2 linked regions of the Lytechinus pictus genome follow. The protein of the gene in region 1 interacts with the protein of each later gene in a pairwise test. Links are inferred from orthologs where the notes say so. Each region holds a gene or a part of one and is shown in the gene's direction. Other genes may lie near its edges.

Region 1 (10,138 bases):
GGAAAGATAAGATAGGGGAAAAAAGAAGAAAAGGGAGAAAGGAAGACAAGAAAAAAGAGAAGAAAAGGGGAAAATAAAGAGAAGAAAAGGAGAGAGAGAGAGGAGGAAGGAAAAGAAGAAAAGAAGAGGAAGAGGGGGAAAGAAAGAGAAAGGAAGGGGAATGAGGATAAGAGAAAGAAAAAAAAGAAAGAAAGAAAGAAAAGGAGATGGGAAACGAAAGAGGGAGATGTTGACCCGGACGTCGATTTGATGTTCGAACTAGGCGGTGCCAAAATAACATTCGAACTATGGGGCGCCGAACTGATGTTTGAACAGGGAGGGGGGCGCGAAATTGATGTTCGAACTATGGGAGCGCCGAATTGATGTTCGATCTAGCGGGGCACCAAATTGATGTTCGAACTATAAAGAGCGCTAATTTGAATTTTGACCATAATGCGACAAATACATGTTTCAGAGGGGGGGGGGGAGGGCAAAGTTATATTTCACATGGGGGCGCCAAGTTTATGTTCAACCGAGGGCGCCAAATTGACCTTGAACTTAGGGGGCTTCATGCAAATTCATTTTCGACCGGGGGCGCAACATTGCTCGTATTGCCTGTTTATAGTGAAATATATGTCCTGCCCAAAAAGCTTAAATTAATGCGGGTGAATTAAAATATCCCGTTTTTACGATAATAGACAAAAACAATGTTTTCGAGTTTAAAGTCTGTTTAGCGAGATAGATATCCTGTTCAGGGTCACAAAAAGGGGTTATAATCAAATTCAGCTCGCGCTACGCGCTCGCAATATTTCATCAATGAGGTATGCATCCTCTGCATCAATCCTACATGTAAGTGAATTAGTGTTCTTCAAGTCAACATACATAGGCCGATCCACGGGGCAAAGATTTTGCCCCCCCCCCCCCCATGGTGGCGCAAAAAAGGGGTAAGAAACAGAAAACGAAGAGAAAAGGGACAAGCAATTAAAATAGGAATTATACCTTAGTCCTTCTTAAGTCAGTATATAAAAAATTGAGCTCGCGCTTCGCGCTGGCATCAATAAATTGTTTAGTTATATACGCATCCCGACCTCACAGTTTTTTTTAAGAGAACGAGAAGCACAAGCTGAAAATATTTGATATTCTAACCTGACAACTGAAAATGTATTTTTCATTTTATCATTATACAAGTTTTCAGCTAGCGCTTCGCGCTCGCATTCATTTATTAATAGATATGCATCGTGTTCATCATAACAACTACTAACATTGGCGAATCCAGGGGGCCCGAGGGCCCTTCCCCCTAGTGACGGAGCAAATAAATTGGGAAAAACGGGGAAAGAAAGACAAAAAGAAGGGGAAAGATAAAAGGGGGAAGACGAGTGAATAAAATAAGGTCAGGAGAAGACTTGAAAAATAATTTTTTAAATATTTAATGTCACTATATTAAAATTTCGCTCACGCATCACGCTCGCATTGCCTGTTCGATGAGATACATATCTCGGTCAATATAGGCTGATATATAGTTCAAAAGATAAAGTTTTGAAGTCAATATACAAAACATAATTCAGCTCGGACATCGATCTTTCATTTTTTTTTGGTTTTATTTGCCAATTTATTTTTTTAAGTGCTCTGGAAAATGTCCGTTTTATGGTGTGAATCAACATTTGCAACATTTTGTGCGCTCGCATTATTTGCTATGTAGGCCTACCTTTTGCCTTTTGGTATTTCATATAAGATTATCTAAATATTCCTTTTCAGGTGTCTCGATTCTAAAAAAAATGAAGGCCTATGCTCACGCTGTGCTCTCGCATTTTGGTGAGTTATGTACACCTATAACAAACTACTTAATTCCCCCCCCCCCCCCATTTAAACATTTCGGATCGCGATTTGCGCTCGCGTTATTTGCTAAAATATATCAACCAATGAATCCTATTCATGATTATAAAAATACTTAAAATTTCCAGTTTTCAGGCCACATACACTGTCAACAAATTTCACACACTCATTAGGCTTATTAGATTAATAAATATGAAATAACATTTTTATGAATTCATAATAACTAAATTGTCCCTTTTTCATAAATAAATATCGACACGTTTTAGGAAAAGAAATAGAAGATAGTCATCATTCTTATATGATGACAAAATATCCTTAGGCTTAAAATGTCTCGATCCTAGGTTAAAATAATAATAAAATATCAGCTCACGATTCGCGCTCGCATCATTTATTTAGTGCTGTCCACATCGACGTCACAATTTTCCTATATCAAAGTGCTGTAAATAGTGCTTAAATTGACTCATTTCATATCGGAATTTCAAATATTATTTTCAACTCGCGCTCTGCGATCGCATTATTGATTTTCATGATGAAAAATGAAATGTATTCAGAATGCAGATTCTGTCTAACTCTAAAACACGCGCACGCATTTTTTTTTTTAGATACGCAGCTTGATCTTATTCAAAACGTACTAAAATTATCCAGTTTCAGATCAGAATATAAAAAATTTTCTGCTCGCGCTTTGCGCTCGCATTATGAAGACACTAAAAATTACCCTTCCTTTTTCATGATTGACAAAACATGACTCGAGCGTCCTGTTTGGGGGTTTGAAATCTCATCTTTTTAGGGTGGAATATCAAAAATGTTCAGCTCGCGCTTCGCGCTCACATTATTTAATCGTTGAAATATATATCGTCTTAATGGCTAACTGCAAAACGTCCTTAACAGGTCCCTTTTCGACTAGGCCAGAATGCATATTTAAAGGTCAAGTCCACCCCAGAAAAATGTTGATTTGAATAAATAGAGAAAAATCAAACATGAATAACGCTGAAAACTTCATCAAAATCGGATGTAAAATAAGTTATGACATTTTAAAGTTTCGCTTATTTAAAAAAAAAACAGTTCTATGCTCAACTAAGTGATATGCAAATGAGAGAGTCGATGATGTTACTCACTCACTATTTCTTTTGTTTTCTATTGTTTGAATAATACAATATTTCAATTTTTATGAATTCGACAATTAGGACCCCCTTGCTTGAACCACAAAATGCTAAAATAATTGAATTACATGTGTTCAGGGAGGAATGAAACTCTGTTTCACATGACAATGACGAGAAATATAATACAAAAGAAATAGTGAGTGGGTGATGTCATCGGTACCCTCATTTGCATACCGACCAGGATGTGCATATAAATGTTTTGAAAAATTAAGCAAAACTTTAAAATGTTATGTGTTATGTTAACTTTCTTTTTTTACATCCGATTTTGATGAAATTTTCAGTGTTATGTTTGTTTAATTTTTCACTTTCTATTCAAAGCAACTTTTTGTTGGGGTGGGCTTGTCCTTTAACACTTCTGATCGCGCTTCGCGCTCACGGTAATTATCTAGTTACATAACGCGTTCTCAATTTTCTGGACAAAATACATGAAATTTCATTTTTTTTTAGCTTGCATAGGGCTTATGAGATTATTACACATTTATGTTGTTTATAAAGTAAAGCTAGGAAATGACTGTTAGGACATGGGCGTTTTGCCCCCCCCCCAAAAAAAAAAAGAGAGAAAAGGAAAGGGATTAGGATGAAATATGATATTATTTTCCAAATGTTATGTCAAAATCTATCACAACCTTGTATTTTTGTAATAAAAATGTCAGCATATTTGCTTGCTCGCTTCGCTCAATGGAAACTTCTTATTAATTTTGTGCGATACGCCATATCGAGCCCCCTCAAAATTGTTGGCTCATTACGCCACTGGAACAACCCCTTCAAAGAAAAAAAAAATAAAATATCAACATTGAGCGGCCGATGGGGGAAAATATGGGTGAAAAAATTCGCCCCCTCATTTGCGGAAGCTAGGTCCGCCCCCGGAATTAGGCTTTCAGGATAAAATACATCAAAAATAAAAAATAAATCAGATCGCGCTTCGCGTTCTCATTATGTATTTAGGCCTTGTGAAATACCTCAATGTGTTTTTTAAAATAAAATCTCAGATATTCTTTAACTTCTACCCCCCCCCCCCATTTCATTGATTGTTGTTATCTTGGTGCCCTCTACAAAAGTTCAACAAGACCCCCCCTCGTGCACCCATGCTGAATAAATACGCCACAAATGAGGAGAATGAGTCGATTGCTTCGTGATTGCATTATTCCCAAGAAGCTATCATTAATATTATTGAAGGCTATTCTAAAACAACTAGCAAAGAAACTACAGCTCCCGTTCACACAATATTCTAGTAGGGCCTACTCTCGTGAGAAATTAAACCAAATTGAACCCCCCCCCCAAATCACTCGCGCTTCGCGCTCCCATTGATATTTCATTATTATATTCATGGATTTTTTTTTTAAGAACACATTAAAAGAGTGGTCTTTAATTGCCTTTTTAAAATGTGATTATAAGATAATTCAAAATCCATTTAAGGCACTTAAGTTAGCCTGGCTGGAAGGGAGTGGGCGCAATTTTTCGAAAAGTACACATGGGCGCCAAGAATCAGGTCAAATTTGGGCCCCCCTTCTCACCAAATCCTGGATCCGCGCCTGGGTTCTATAACAATAACCAAATTAGGGCAATCATCCACTGACAACTACTTCAAGGAAAATATGATCCCCATATTTTTACCGCCGGGGACTGTTACCCCCAGAAATTTACCCTCGAGACAATTACCCCGGATAATTACCCTTAGTACGGAGCCTTTAAAATGCCATCGACGTGACGACATGGCATGATACTCTATCTTGCCATGTATAATTAATAAGCTTATTATTTCGACATGGCGATATATTCTATCTTGTCAAGTCGATATGTCGACATGGCGAGATCTGAAGTGTACAAGTCCCGGCCAGAATCCCGATATATCGCCATGTTGACATATAACTTGTTACAAGTCGACTTGGCAAGATAAAATATCTCACCATGTTGACGTATAACTTTTATATGTGGACTTGGCAGGTATCTCGCCATGCCGACATAATAAGCTTATTTAGTCGATATGGCAAGATAAAGTATTTCGCCATGTCGTCAAGTCAGTGGCATTTGAAAGGCTCCGTACTAGGGGCAATTGGCGTCTAGAGGGTAAATTTCGGGGGGGGGGGGGTAACAGTCCCTGACGATAAAAATATGGGGATAATATTTTCCTTGAAGTAGTTGTCAGGGGGCGATTGTCCATTCGGTCATCGTTATAGAACCCCATGGACTCGTATCAATGACCGTTTGACCTCTTGATGACATTGGATCTCACTATATCCTGATCATTATTTTACACACACCGCGGACTATCGGACCCGCGGTCTATCGGACCCGCGGACTATCGGACCCGCGGTCTATCGGACCCGCGGTCTATCGGACCCGCGGTCTATCGGACCCGCGGACTATCGGACCCGCGGTCTATCGGACCCGCGGTCTATCGGGCTGTAACCGAATGCATGATATGAACCATGCATACCGCCGGTAATATTATGAAGCAATACGCTGCGAAAACGAAAACAACGTTTTGCTTGATCATGATGATGTCTGTGTTTGTGAAAACAGTTTTTGGACAGTTTGTTGGCTAACACTAAAGAAAATACGTTCTACATTGGTCTCATCTTCAAAGTTCTACCTAGAATAGTCTATTCTCTTAAGACAAGAAAAAACAAGGAGCAGGCTGAGCAGTGGACAATCGGCTGATCGGGCATCGCTTTTCTTCTTCCCTGGCCGCGGTCGCGTTGATTTCCTCCACTCTCGATTACCGTCTACCCATCTGGACTGGGGAACTGCCGGATCCAGTGGTTATAGCGAAAAGTGTTTTTTTTTAAATTAGATTCAGGATAGAGCTAAGCTCAGGATCTTTGGAATCGTTCTGTATCTTGATGATGTCTGTTTCATTGTGTATCATCAGAATTTCTGTTAACGACAACTCTCCGATTCCAAAATCATTGTCATATTCAAGAGGTAGATCTGTGGTTTTAACATTAACAAGTTAGTCCGGAGGGGGGGGGGGCAGTCAAATATATTGCTGTACACTTACGTGACCAAAAAACGCATTTAAAGGGTTTTTTTTTTTTCAGTTTTATACGCGGGCCCCGCGTGTACTGATTTTCAAGAAAAAGGGTGGTTTTGAAAGACCGGTCAATGGTCAGTTGCGGGGCTGGGGTCAAATGTAATTAGGGTATGTTTTTTTTCCAAAGCTTTTTATTTAAAACTAGCCAAACATGTTAAGGGTATGTTTTCTCCCCCAAGCTTTTTCCCCAAGGTCATATTCTGGCAACAACATGTACATGTTTAGAGGCCAAATTGTGTACATAAAGCTCGCGAAAAAATTGTTTGGAGGTTATTTTGCACACAGAGAAAAACTCGTTTAGGGGGTGTTTGGAAATAATTTGGTCACGCATGTGTACAGCAATACATTTGACTGCCCCCCGGCCCCGGGGCAAGTTAGTCCTAATTTTTTTTAAGTTGATAGCCTAACTGTTAGCTATTTAAGTGATTATTTTTTTGTCTAACATTACTACTAGGAACTTAGGAAGTTTAATTTCAGTAGCCATGGTAGAATAGCAGAGTATTTGGTTGAATTGAAATAGCCTAACAACATGCCTAAGCCTAAGGCATGATAATGTTCAGTCTTCCTATTAATTTAAGTTATAATTTTGAGAATCGAGACATTAAATCATTCAATTCAACTCTTTTAAAATGTCATTTTTTAAAAGTAGATTTATCTAGAACTCTATTATGATTAATCAAATTGTGACTTAGAATTTTTTTAGATTAACAAGGTTTTGTTTGAATTTCATGCAGGAGCAGACGCGATGGCAGAAAGTCCACCACTGCTATCTTCTTCACCTCCTCCTACTCTGATGGCCAAACGGCATGATGCCCTCAGTGATAAACCTTCAGTGGCATGGGAGAAAGTGGATGAAGATGGACGAAGTCATCCAATCCTGGCCAAGGCAGAGAGCACCGAAGCCATCTTGGAGAAATGCATCGGAAAAAGGGAAGAGACAGAGATCCAGATCGAAACCTACAATGTTGAAGGTAATTTTAACTGGGAATGAATCTACAGTCAAATTGATCAGCTGAACTTATTGGGGGAAGGGGATGGGTCATTCCCAATTGTTTAACATTTGTGACAGAGCAATGTTTTATACATAGCAATGTTTTCCCGGCTTTAAGGCTTTAATCAACATGTCAAAACAGAGCAATGTTATATACATAGCAATGTTTTCCCGGCTTTAAGCAGTACATGGCAATATGGCTGTAAAAATATGAAATGTGAAATTTAATCAACATGTCAAAACAGGAAGCCACATCTTTTTTCTGTGATAACCAAATTAATCTTTTGAAATTCGCTATACAGGTAGAAAGGACCTCAAATCTTCTTGCCTGATGTGGTGAAGAATTGGTTCTAAAGCTACACTGATATCACAGGAGGCAGGCATAATCATTATTAAGAAATCTTGACACATCTAACTTTATGCTCTTTAGAAGTTTAGATGAGGACATTAACTGATAAAAAGTAGATTATTTGTATGAGACATTTGCTATTGAAATGTACAAACTGTGCATAATGGCTTGCCAGCCATGATGTCACATAATTTATTAAAGTCGATTATAATTTGTTATACTTTTGTTGTTGATGCCATTTTGAGACTGCACAGCTCTTTCGTTATACACTGTCAGAGAAAATGATTTTGCTAAGTGTTAAATTATTGGGCTGAGAAGCTCTTTACCTTAATGTATTGAACTCATTATTCCAGAATTTCTTTTTGTTTCAACTTTAAAAACTTTTTTGTGTGCAAATAAAGTATGAAAGAAAAATTGAGATAGATATTTTAATGGGATGTAAAGGCTTACTGGGGAAGTTTGATATTGGAATTCTGTCTTGTAATAGATAGAGAGATAGAAAGTGTAATGGGATGGAAATGCTTGCTGAGGAAGTTTGATATTGGAATTCTGTCTTGTAATAGATAGAGAGATAGATAGAGTAATGGGATGGAAATGCTTGCTGAGGAAGTTTGATATTGGAATTCTGTCTTGTAATAGATAGAGAGATAGATAGTGTAATGGGATGTAAAGGTTTGCTGGAGAAGTTTGATATTGGAATTCTGTCTTGTAATAGATAGAGAGATAGATAGAGTAATGGGATGGAAATGCTTGCTGAGGAAGTTTGATATTGGAATTCTGTCTTGTAATAGATAGAGAGATAGATAGAGTAATGGGATGGAAATGCTTGCTGAGGAAGTTTGATATTGGAATCCTGTCTTGTAATAGATAGAGAGATAGATAGAGTAATGGGATGGAAATGCTTGCTGAGGAAGTTTGATATTGGAATTCTGTCTTGTAATAGATAGAGAGATAGATAGAGTAATGGGATGGAAATGCTTGCTGAGGAAGTTTGATATTGGAATTCTGTCTTGTAATAGATAGAGAGATAGATAGTGTAATGGGATGTAAAGGTTTGCTGGAGAAGTTTGATATTGGAATTCTGTCTTGTAATAGATAGAGAGATAGATAGAGTAATGGGATGGAAATGCTTGCTGAGGAAGTTTGATATTGGAATTCTGTCTTGTAATAGATAGAGAGATAGATAGTGTAATGGGATGTAAAGGTTTGCTGGAGAAGTTTGATATTGGAATTCTGTCTTGTAATAGATAGAGAGATAGATAGTGTAATGGGATGGGATGGAAATGCTTGCTGAGGAAGTTTGATATTGGAATTCTGTCTTGTAATAGATAGAGAGATAGATAGTGTAATGGGATGGAAATGCTTGCTGAGGAAGTTTGATATTGGAATTCTGTCTTGTAATAGATAGAGAGATAGATAGTGTAATGGGATGGGATGGAAATGCTTGCTGAGGAAGTTTGATATTGGAATTCTGTCTTGTAATAGATAGAGAGATAGATAGTGTAATGGGATGGAAATGCTTGCTGAGGAAGTTTGATATTGGAATTCTGTCTTGTAATAGATAGAGAGATAGATAGTGTAATGGGATGTAAAGGTTTGCTGGAGAAGTTTGATATTGGAATTCTGTCTTGTAATAGATAGAGAGTTAGATATAAAGGCTTGCTGGGGAAGTTTGATATTGGAATTCTGTCTTGTAATAGATAGTGTAATGGGATAGAAATGCTTGCTGAGGAAGTTTGATATTGGAATTCTGTCTTGTAAGAGATAGAGAGATAGATAGTGCAATGGGATGTAAAGGCTTGCTGGGGAAGTTTGATATTAGAATTCTGTCTTTTCCATGAATACAGGTCAGATTAAAACTAAGAGGTAGTGAGGTAACTTGTTCTTACATCATTGTGACTGTGCCATAAACCAGCAATGGCTTGGTGGTAGGGCCATTGATCAGCAATTAGTAGATTCAAATCTAGGTTCAAATCCTCCTGGTTCTAAGATTTTTGTCTGTCTTATTTTTTAGATCAAATATGCGATCTTATTTAATCTACAAAATTTGCTTCTTATGAAGGCTTAGAATGAAAAACGACTTTGAAGTTTTTAGTTATATTGATTTGCCTTGGTAATCAATTTCTGATAGACCAAAGAAGTGGACTATTTCTTCACTATGTAAGCTAAGCATTGATATTCTTATCTTCCAGAAAGATACGAGGATGAGTGCACAGATCAGATCAAGGAAGAACCTAAACCGAGCTATGCCAAAGCTCTTGCTGGGGTGAAAGAAACAGACAAATGGCGTTCATCCAAGGAAAGACAAAGTCAAATTAATCAGTCATCGACTTTTAAGCCTGTAAAGGGGGACAGTCTATGTAGTGACACCACTACTACTAGTGAAATCACATCTCTTGATAGTACTGATGAAGACTCTCTAAGCATAGACAAGGACAAAGGTCAAAGCTCAGAGTCTGACAAAGTTCAAAGCACAGAGAACAAAGGACAAAGATCGGAGAGCAAAGGTCAAAGCTTAGAGGGCAAAGCTAAGAAAGGCGAGGCTTCGGGTAAGAGTCGCCCTAGAGTTGTGCCTCCAGTTGATAGCTCTGTTCGACATGTATCATCGAGCATTAGTCCTCCAACTGTGTCATCTGAAGCCAGTGAGGGCGGCAGATCAAGCAAAAGTCCACTGACGCAGATCAGGAGAAGAATAACATTCTTTTCAGGGAATCCTGTGGTGGATGTTACAAAGGGAATAGTCCATCTTTTCAAAGAGAAGTAAGTATGGAGTCTCATGGTCGATGAACACT
Region 2 (9,471 bases), on another chromosome or scaffold:
CGAGCAGAAATTTGTATTAACTGTTCTAGCATTATCGAAAAGGGACCTGTTAAGGACTGCTTTCAGTTACCCACGAAGACGGTATATATTTCAATAATGCGAGCGCGAAGCGCGAGCAATTTTTTACATTCCGACTTAAAAAAAATGGTAATTCTAAGCACTTTTTGTATTAATAAATGGGATAGGTATGTAACTAAACAATTGATGCGAGCGCAAAGCGCGAGAGGAAGAAAGTTGAGATTTTAGACCTAAAAGCAGGGGACTGAGCGAAAAAAATTAACCTTTGTACATTTAAACAAAAATAATTTCATGATAGAGACATATTAAAATAATGATATAGTTACCTGTGTACACATAATCCATCATTTTTCTATAGGCGATTTACATTGCAATAATTATTATTACCACGGTCATCTGATCCTGGCATTCTCAACGTATGTTTTTCTCCACTCCCTGGGACAGGAGCAGCAGAAAATTGTTATTGGGGGGGGGGGGGGGTCAACACCAAAAAGGCACTCATTTATCAAAATGAGTTTTTTTGTGCAAACAGATACATGTATTTTCAAAATGAGATCATGAACTGCGTGAAGTAATTGTGTGTTTTGTAGAAATTAAGTTGAGCAAAGGCTTTCTAATTATAAGATAGATATTTTGAATTAGGTTTCACTTCTCAGCGACAAAGCATAGCGAGCAAGCGGTTTAAAAAAAATAATTCCCCGAGTTTCGTAATTTTGTCAAAATGATGAGGCAGAAATTATATCTAACAGAACGAGTGACAATTTATCCCGGCCACGTGAAGTTTATCGTCGGTGAATATCGTCTGCTGCTATTCGTTGAGTTGATTTGCCTTCAGATTCGGATATATTCACTTCTTTGTAAGTACAGTTATATCATTATTCTCCTTCTTTAGAGCCTTGACAGAGGGAAGAGACTCTGTATGGCTGGTCAAGGCTGGAATTTTCATGGATTTATTTTGGCCCGCAGTAGGCCTAGGTGCAGCTAGCACTAGCAGCTGCATGAGTTGGTAGCGTATCGGCATGCAAGTTGAAATGTCCGACTCATCATCATAGACGTAATTCCCCTAATTTACCTCCATCCGCGTCACTAGAGCTAGAAACTTCATCATCATTCTCTTCATCTTCAAAATCATCAATTTGAAAATCCAAAATCTAGATAAACTTCTGGGTTTTCTTTCATTTCGTGATCGAAGTATTCAGTGACAGTGTGGAAAAACGTACCCTCGCAACAGGTTTTGCATGCAAGTGGAGCTTGACGTGGGAGAGCCAATCACGTTTCTCGTACACTTATACACGTCATCAAAAAACCCCAATTTCGCGGACGTAATTGAGCGTGTTTGAAGCATTCAGATAAAGAACTTTGAACTATCAATTAAGTGAGTTTCATCGGTCTCCATGATGAATGATGCACACCATCGTGTTCTTCTTATTTCCCCCTCTAATTTGATATATAATTCTTAATTTCTATGATTTTCAATATATTTCTACTTTAAGAGATGCATTTTCATAATCTGGAAAAGCCTTGCTTCCTTTATTTAGGGTGCTTTTTGGTACCGCATGGTCGTGCCTGGTATCAACTCATCAATGGAATTAAGTGGTCCCCCCGCGGGAATTCGAATCTAATCCCCCATTTCTGGGGAAAGTAAAACATAATGCCCATTACATGGTGTGCTAGACGCATATCGTTTGTGTAGGAGTACACAAAAGGCTGGTACGTTCAGACGTATACATACTGTGTACATAATCAACGCATGCGAAATGGTTTCGGCTGGAGAGGTGATTTGACCCATGGAAATAATTGCCAGAGATCCACCAATAATCCACATTAAATGCAATATCGATTCGATGGACTGTAATGATTTATATCTAAGCCTTAATTCAGTAACTTTTTCCTCACTCAATATGTACTCGATTTGTTTGAAAAACCTCTTTCATATCCATGTCATAATCTATTGTAGGTCCTGCATTTCGAATATCTCCAGCCATCAGTCGTAATGTACATGCATGTAATGGTGGGGGTGTCGCGGGAAAGAATTTTGCACACGAAAAGCAGATCTGTAGGGCCTGTAACCCCCCTGTAACACAAAGCTTAGTATTGATTGTAGAGCAGTTTTCTACGTTTGATTCTATTGACTATAATGTACAATCAATCTTAAAAATCAAGTGTATGATTAAGCGTTAACTTTTGTGTTAGGGGACCCTAATATTAGCGTCCGTGAGGATTGCGAAAGGTGGCTATTATTAGAGAAACAGAACTACGCGGTACGGATAGATAGCATGCAGGGGCCTGTTGCATGAAATGGTCTTTGGTAGGACCACTCTACGTAAGAACGAGATATCGCTCAACTGTTTCACAAAGCCGGTTTGGGCGATACGAAGGATGGTCCTTGGAAAGACACCTCCAGACATGTCCTACGTAGGCATGATCTTCTTTGCACACCGCCCGCCACCGTCGGCATTGAGAGAAAATGCGTTTACGGCAAGCCACACTGACATATCACCTTTAAACATTTTTTGGGGTTGCACACTGATGCATTTTGTCTGGGATGGCGCCAAGTTATTTTTTATATGGGGGATAGTTGTCATCAATTTCAGGTCGTCTTTTTGCACGGCAAGACGATCGACCAAAAACAGATGTCATTTTAACTTCTCCGGGCATTATGTCCGGGGTAATGTAGGCCCAAATATTTTTTTTAATATGTTTTCTTTTATTCTCCGTCCTATCCCCACACCATTTCCATTAATTTTTTTTGAAATATTGAAATGGGCGGCACTATCTCTCTGACCCCTCATGCTTTCTCATTATAGATAATTAAACAACATGAAAACAAATATCTTTAAAAGAAATGATGTAAGGTAAAAAACTTGTTTATAACGTTCAGCAAAAAAACAAACACGATACAAAACTAAAATGTTAAACATGGTAAATCATTCATTTATTTTTATTTCATTTTCATTACAATTTTTTTTTTGCTGAGATTAATTTTAATCAATGAAAATTAATTGTCGGATTTGGGCTAACTTGAGATGTGAAACAGTGAAACAAAACAAAAAATCTGCAGTAACAAAATAGCTAATTGAATTTAAGATACAGATTAGGCCTATATATAGCTTACGAATCCATTACAATTATTACAAATGAAGATAAGCTAGTTCATATTAAAGAAAAGATTATGGAAAGTCCATATACGAAGAGGCGCATGTTAAATCGTAGGGTAGACCCCTTTCGGCCCCTATGTAATGTTAAAGCAATAATGTAGTCTCTACATACTCCTCAACTTTGAAATGTTGAACATATATATTTCTCATATTCTTAAACCTTATATTCTTATATAAGCTTCCATAAATTAAGTGATCAACTTTAAAGATGACCAACGTTTATATGATCATTGTAATATTTAGCATTATTTCTGTAAATAGTATTTTTTCCATTGCGGATATTAATTGCACACCTTTTTCTATGTTTTAATTGTAATTGCAAAGCTCTACTTTATCCACTTGGACATGTTTGCAGCAATTTTCATATTTTCCTTGTCTTCGGTTACTCATCATGCAACTGAGGTATGTTTATACTCTAAACACTCACATTTGTATTTCTTGCGTTATATCTGACAAATAAAATAAATAAATTAGATTTTTCACAGGCAGCCTCTCATATATTCCATTTTAGTCTCATACAATCAGACACTGTTGATTTTGTTTACTTCATTAAAACCCTATTTTTACCTCAACAGATAACATATTAACGCATAATTTGCAAAATCATCATTATATATATGTATTCTATAAAAAAAATCAGTGTATTGAACTAATAAAATGTCGAAATTACTTAGTTGAATCAATTTTTATGTCGGACAAGGGTCTCTTTCATTGAAATATCAATGAAAGGTGTCTCTAAAAGGACACCGTGTTCTAAATAAGGGAAATAATGAAAATTTCGATTTTATCCAGTTATGTTTGTGAATCTTGAAAGTTTTTTCTCTTTTTACCTCATAAAGTACGCTCCATACATCAATTCTACAATCAGTAATAAATAAAACATTATTTGATCCCCTTTTATTGAAATATATGATTTTATGAAAAGTCGTCATTCCGAAATAAAAGGTTCAGGTGACGATGAAGACTAAATATTTTCCCGATACTATCGATATCAAACGATGTCGCGGACTTGAAAGACAAAATTGCCTTCGTGAAACGGAAAGCGCTGATTTGTCGCCAATCTTCCAATCTCGGAAGAATGGTCCTAGGACGTTCCTACGTATCGCTCATCTCGTCATGCAACAGGCCCCAGGGGCCCGTTTCTCAACACATGGACAAGTTAGTCATATCTTTATCCACCAACCACGGAGTTAGTTCCAATCTTACTAAACCTGTTTCTCGAAAGGCTTCCTAACTAGAATACCTTGATATCGTTACTATCGGTAAAAAGAGCAGACGAGACATAGCCTTAGTCACAAAATAGCATAATTTTCAAAAAGAAAAATTATGACAAAATTGCAAATATCGTGATGAATTGGGAAATAAATCTTTTCAAAATAATAGCACAGGTGAATTATGCATCATACATACTGAGACCATGAAGATTGGAGCATTCAATTGCAGAGAAAATAAAATTCTGAATAATTCATTTCATGACTAAAAAATCACTTGTGGACGTTGAGATGGGTACCCCCGGGATATCAAATTTTAATAGTTTACGAAAGTAAACCATAACGGTTTTCTTTGTAAAATGATGATAATTACTACGGTCTTTTATGACTCCGAAAGTCATCAAAATTATAGTTTAACGAAACATTTTTAATAATTGATACCGAAACATACGAAATTTGACAAATTATATGCATAAATTAGAGATAGAATTTATCCAACTGTTAATAGGGGTCTGAAAACAACAAATACGAGTTCAGTTATGGATGGCCTGACGTGGTAGAATCTTTATCGATTAAATCATTTTACTATTTCAAAATGAATGGTTTTGTGGCGTTTTACCAACAGTTTTTATAGTTTCTTTGTATTACAATTATCATTGAATGCATTAATTATCCCACTTGTTTTGTGATGTAATTTCTATCTCTATGATTGATTACGTAAGATTATAATTTTTATAATTTCTAGGCACTTTTGCATGTCGTAGTCTACCCACGTGATGCCACTACGTCATTAAGAAAGAAGTTGACAGGTTCGGAGGTGTCATAAATATTTAGTGAGGTTGTTGTACCCGATCTTGGTAAAGAGGGCTTCGTGAAACGGTTAGCGGACAAGTAGCTCACTATCTCCGATTTAGTCAAGAAGTTAGACTTATGACGGTGTTGAGAAACGGGCCCCAGGAGCCGATTGCCCGAAAGGGTCTTTGCAAGAACCGTCTTTCGTGTCGCCCATTTATTATGATGCGCCATATGTGAAACGCATTTTAAATAAATTACCTGTAAATTAACACATTTCATTCATCCGTTAAAGTAAACAAAATCTTTGTTTATAAAATGATGTGATATATCATGAAATCGTATACAAATTGATTTAAATGCTAGCTAACAAATTTTATTTCTTTATCTTACATTTCAGAAATATCTCGCATACAGCGCATTTTAAAAGATGGGCGACACGAAAGACGGTCCTTGGAAAGACCCTTCGTGCAATCGGCCCCTGGGGAGCGTTTCATGAAAGGACTTGTCGGACGTTTTATCCGACAAGTCCCATTTTATCCGACAGTTACCATAGTAACAGTACCTCTCAGCCAATCAACATCAGAGAAAGATGTCAGATCTGACAACTTGTCGGATGAAAATGTTGATGAAACACTCCCCAGATCCCCATCCTCGGCCTCCGATCCGAGAGATATAATATATATGTAGTGACTGGTATTCAGACTAGCCTTTTGATTCTCGAGACTTGCTCGCTGTATGCCTGGACCTGGTAATTTTGCATCGATTTTCATTTTTGCAACGCAGTTTGCTGTTTGAGAGACGAAATTTATCGTTGAATGACTTGCACATGACTGTTCAATAAATAAAAACGATTCGAGACTTTTTTTGACGTATCTCAACCTGACTTTGTCATACCCTTTGCTTGGACAACTGCAGTCAATTGCGTGTATTTCTTTGTGTTTAGTCCCATGCATTCAATAATGTGGATTTTTTTCTTTTTTGATTAAATTTAAATGCAATCTTTGACTATTAAATAACGGTACAGTACGAATTCCATTCCTCCTTTCAGAATAGATGTGTATGCTGATTTCAATAAATGTGTACCGGTACGTATGCTTGTCTCGATGGTGATTGTGATAAAAAATATGGATGGACCTAATTTCAGTAGGCTAGGGCTAGGCACTCGAGTCCTACTCCTACTACCTAGTACCAATGAGGTCCAACATTACATGTATGGACCTCATAGGCGACATCAGTAGTATTTTTGGTTAGAAATCTCTGAGAACAGGATATTTATATATTATATCACAAGTACAAGCTATATTCCTTTCTCTTATTTAAATTATAATTTTATAGTGTAAATGCATCGTTAGCATTAGCAACAAAAAAAAATGAAAGAAATGAAGGGGAACTTACATTTTCACGGCTTTTTCCTGATTTTCTGGGCAGCTGCTCTTCTCTTCTGCTCGCGATCGAAGCTGATATGAAGATCACGTGATTCGCGTTCTCGTCAGCTGATCGGTTGGTTATTCTTTTCGTCAGACGTTAATAATATATTTTATAATGCTAGCATTCATCGCTAATTTAGGTGAAAGAGATTGAAGTTAAACAGCGCCAGGTCGGAATCATAATTATTTTGGAAGAGTGTATTTATACACTCGATCTCATACCTGACGTAGACGGCGCTATTCAACAAATGCACAATCTTCAATATAAAAAATAAAACAGAACGCCTTGAACACAGGCCAAAATGCCTAACGATTTCTCCGCGGCATTAACAACTATCGTAAAGGGCGCTCCATTTATCAATAAAGATGGATGCTAAGCTGTCTATGGCGACAAAATTTGCCGCAAATATTTACGAAGAATTGTGAGAAATGGTCTGAAAATGCAACAAAAGAACCGGTGAGTACCGATTAAACATTATCAATTTATTTAATAGAACATATTTAATGACTACAATGTAACAATTTCTAGATAATATTGCTTAGTTCTAAGCTAGGGCGGCCCAAATGCGCGTGAGTGGAGTCCCAGTTTATTAGCACGGGTAAGTATTGGGGTGTCGCCTAGAGTGGGGCTAGGGCTAGGGCGGCCCTACCGTAACTTAAATCACTCTAGGCGACACCCCAATATACTTATCCGTGTTAATATAAACTGGGACTCCACTCACGCGCATTTGGGCCGCCCTAGCTTAGAACTAAGCTTTGTTTTACTAAAAAATAAATATTCTTATGATTCAATAAATGTTACTTAATAAATTAGTACTGTTAAATCGGTACTCACCGGTTCTTTTCTTGAATTTTCTGGCAATTTCCCACGCTTCTGGCTTCAATTCTGCGACTGTTCCTGTCGCGGTAGACAGCTACATATGCAACTTTATTTATAAATGGAGCGCCCCTTACGAGAGTTGTTAATGCCGCGGAGAAATCGTTAGGCATTTTTGCCTGTGTTCAAGGCGTAGCTGTTCTATTTTTTTTTAATAGGTATGAGATCGAAATCACAGCGAACTCGTATTTACACTCTTCCATAATGATTCCGAAAGAGAGGCGCATCACCCCCACCCACATGGGCGCAAATCCCAGGGGGACATGTCCCCCTCACCCAAAATAGTCGGGGGCACATTATGAAATGCCCCTCTACTATTTTTGGTCTTTTAATTCAAAATCGAAATAAAACATGTATTTTGGAAGAGACGATCTTACTTTTGGGGTGCCCTTTTTTTTGGGGGGGGGGGCTTGTTTGCTTGTCAAATTTCTTTTGGTCAAGATGACCTTCTTTTAATTGGGGTGATAAACCTTTTTTTTTTTTGCTTGTCAAATTTTCCAGCCCCTAGTCCCCCTACCTTTGGGGAGAGATTTCCGCCCTTGCCTAACACTACTCTTGATATTGTTTGCGAATCTGCACGGGCGTCGGGGGCTGGGGGATGAGGAAAAGCGGTGAGACGAGAAAAAAATAAAAGGGAAAAGAGGACAGAAATAAAGTGAACGAAAGATAAATTAATGGAAAATAAAAGGGAGGAGAAAATAGTGAGAAAAGTGATGGGTAGGTCGAGATTTTATGTGCCCGTGCAAAAAGAAATGAGCAGAGGTTGAGATGTTGTCCGTTTGGGCAAATGTTTGTCTGTTTGTTGGACTGGCGCTTGTTGCAAAAATTATTAAGCTGATTGAATCAGGACTAAATGTTCCAACTGCTTCATGAGGATTTAGCGGTTGTAGGTATAAATCCGTATAAATCGCGCTCTAACGCTCTAAAACTGTGTTCCGGGCTGTGTTCTTAAAAGTTGTCCTTCATATTCATTTTCACAAAAGAATAAGTTTTCAATCAATTGTCTATAGTTATCCCGTTTATGATAAAAAAATACTTAGAAATTGGGTTAGGTTAGGGTTAAAAATTATCAGGGCACAAAATATATTTTTTCAGCTCGAGCGTCGAGCTGGCATTATTTGATCTGTGAGATTATGTTTTTAATGACATTCATTCTATTCACAGCAATATATTATTAAACATTGCCGCACGCGCTGCGCGCCGCATGAATTATAGATAGGTCTATACTTATCAGGTGAATGCTTTACCGCTTCACACTGATCATGCTGATACTGTTTTGTAAATTAAAGGGGAATTTCACCTTGATAAAAATATTGTAATAATAAGAAAAATAATTTCAAAATATCGGTGAAGGTGTTATTATTTTTTTTTAAATTGGAGTTAATAGAATTTCGAATGCTTGATTTGTGACGCCATAAACAAGCAGTTGCTCTATATTCTATGTAATATAAAATGCCAAAATTTCCCATTTTTAATGGTCCGTAATGACCCACTTTTTTTTTTGTGGAACGAGTAGGGGTATGAAGTTATCTATTGAAATACTGAATGTACAATAAAAGTCATTATCATGTATTTCTTGACATTTCATTTACTTTTTTTACCATAATTATCCTAAAGCTGCTCGCATAGGCCTACGCCGTCACAAATAATTTTTTTTAAAAATCTCACCTTTAATTTTTTTTTTGGGGTGGGGGATGGATTTTCCTCGAACGCATACCAATTTTTCAAATTATTTTTTTCTGCTATTTTCATAATAAACTTTAAATGAATTCACCTTTGCACTACTTAATTTTTTCAAAGACAAATTACATCTAGTCATCATCATCATCACCAACTTCATTCTCATCTTCATCACCACTACCACCATCATCATCATCACCGCCACCATCACCACCACCATCATCTTTACCAAGATAATTTTCATCATCATAATCTTTGCCATCATCGTCTTTCTTTTTTTCTTATTTTTTCCCCTTCCAGTTCTT

Evidence for each region.
Region 2: the proteins of BRCA1-associated protein-like (region 1) and high mobility group protein 20A-like interact in a two-hybrid assay, tested with the Homo sapiens proteins (2 studies listed by BioGRID and IntAct). The link is inferred for Lytechinus pictus from reciprocal best matches to the Homo sapiens genes BRAP and HMG20A.

Annotation. Positions count from the first base shown.
Region 1 is NC_087246.1:16,471,613-16,481,750, forward strand, and holds the start of BRCA1-associated protein-like, read left to right. Parts: upstream 1-5,346; 5' UTR 5,347-5,815; coding exon 5,816-5,897; intron 5,898-6,740; coding exon 6,741-6,977; intron 6,978-9,538; coding exon 9,539-10,106; intron 10,107-10,138. UniProt on the Homo sapiens protein: Negatively regulates MAP kinase activation by limiting the formation of Raf/MEK complexes probably by inactivation of the KSR1 scaffold protein.
Region 2 is NC_087247.1:80,862,329-80,871,799, reverse strand, and holds the start of high mobility group protein 20A-like, read left to right. Parts: upstream 1-5,599; 5' UTR 5,600-5,930; intron 5,931-9,471. UniProt on the Homo sapiens protein: Plays a role in neuronal differentiation as chromatin-associated protein. Acts as inhibitor of HMG20B. Overcomes the repressive effects of the neuronal silencer REST and induces the activation of neuronal-specific genes.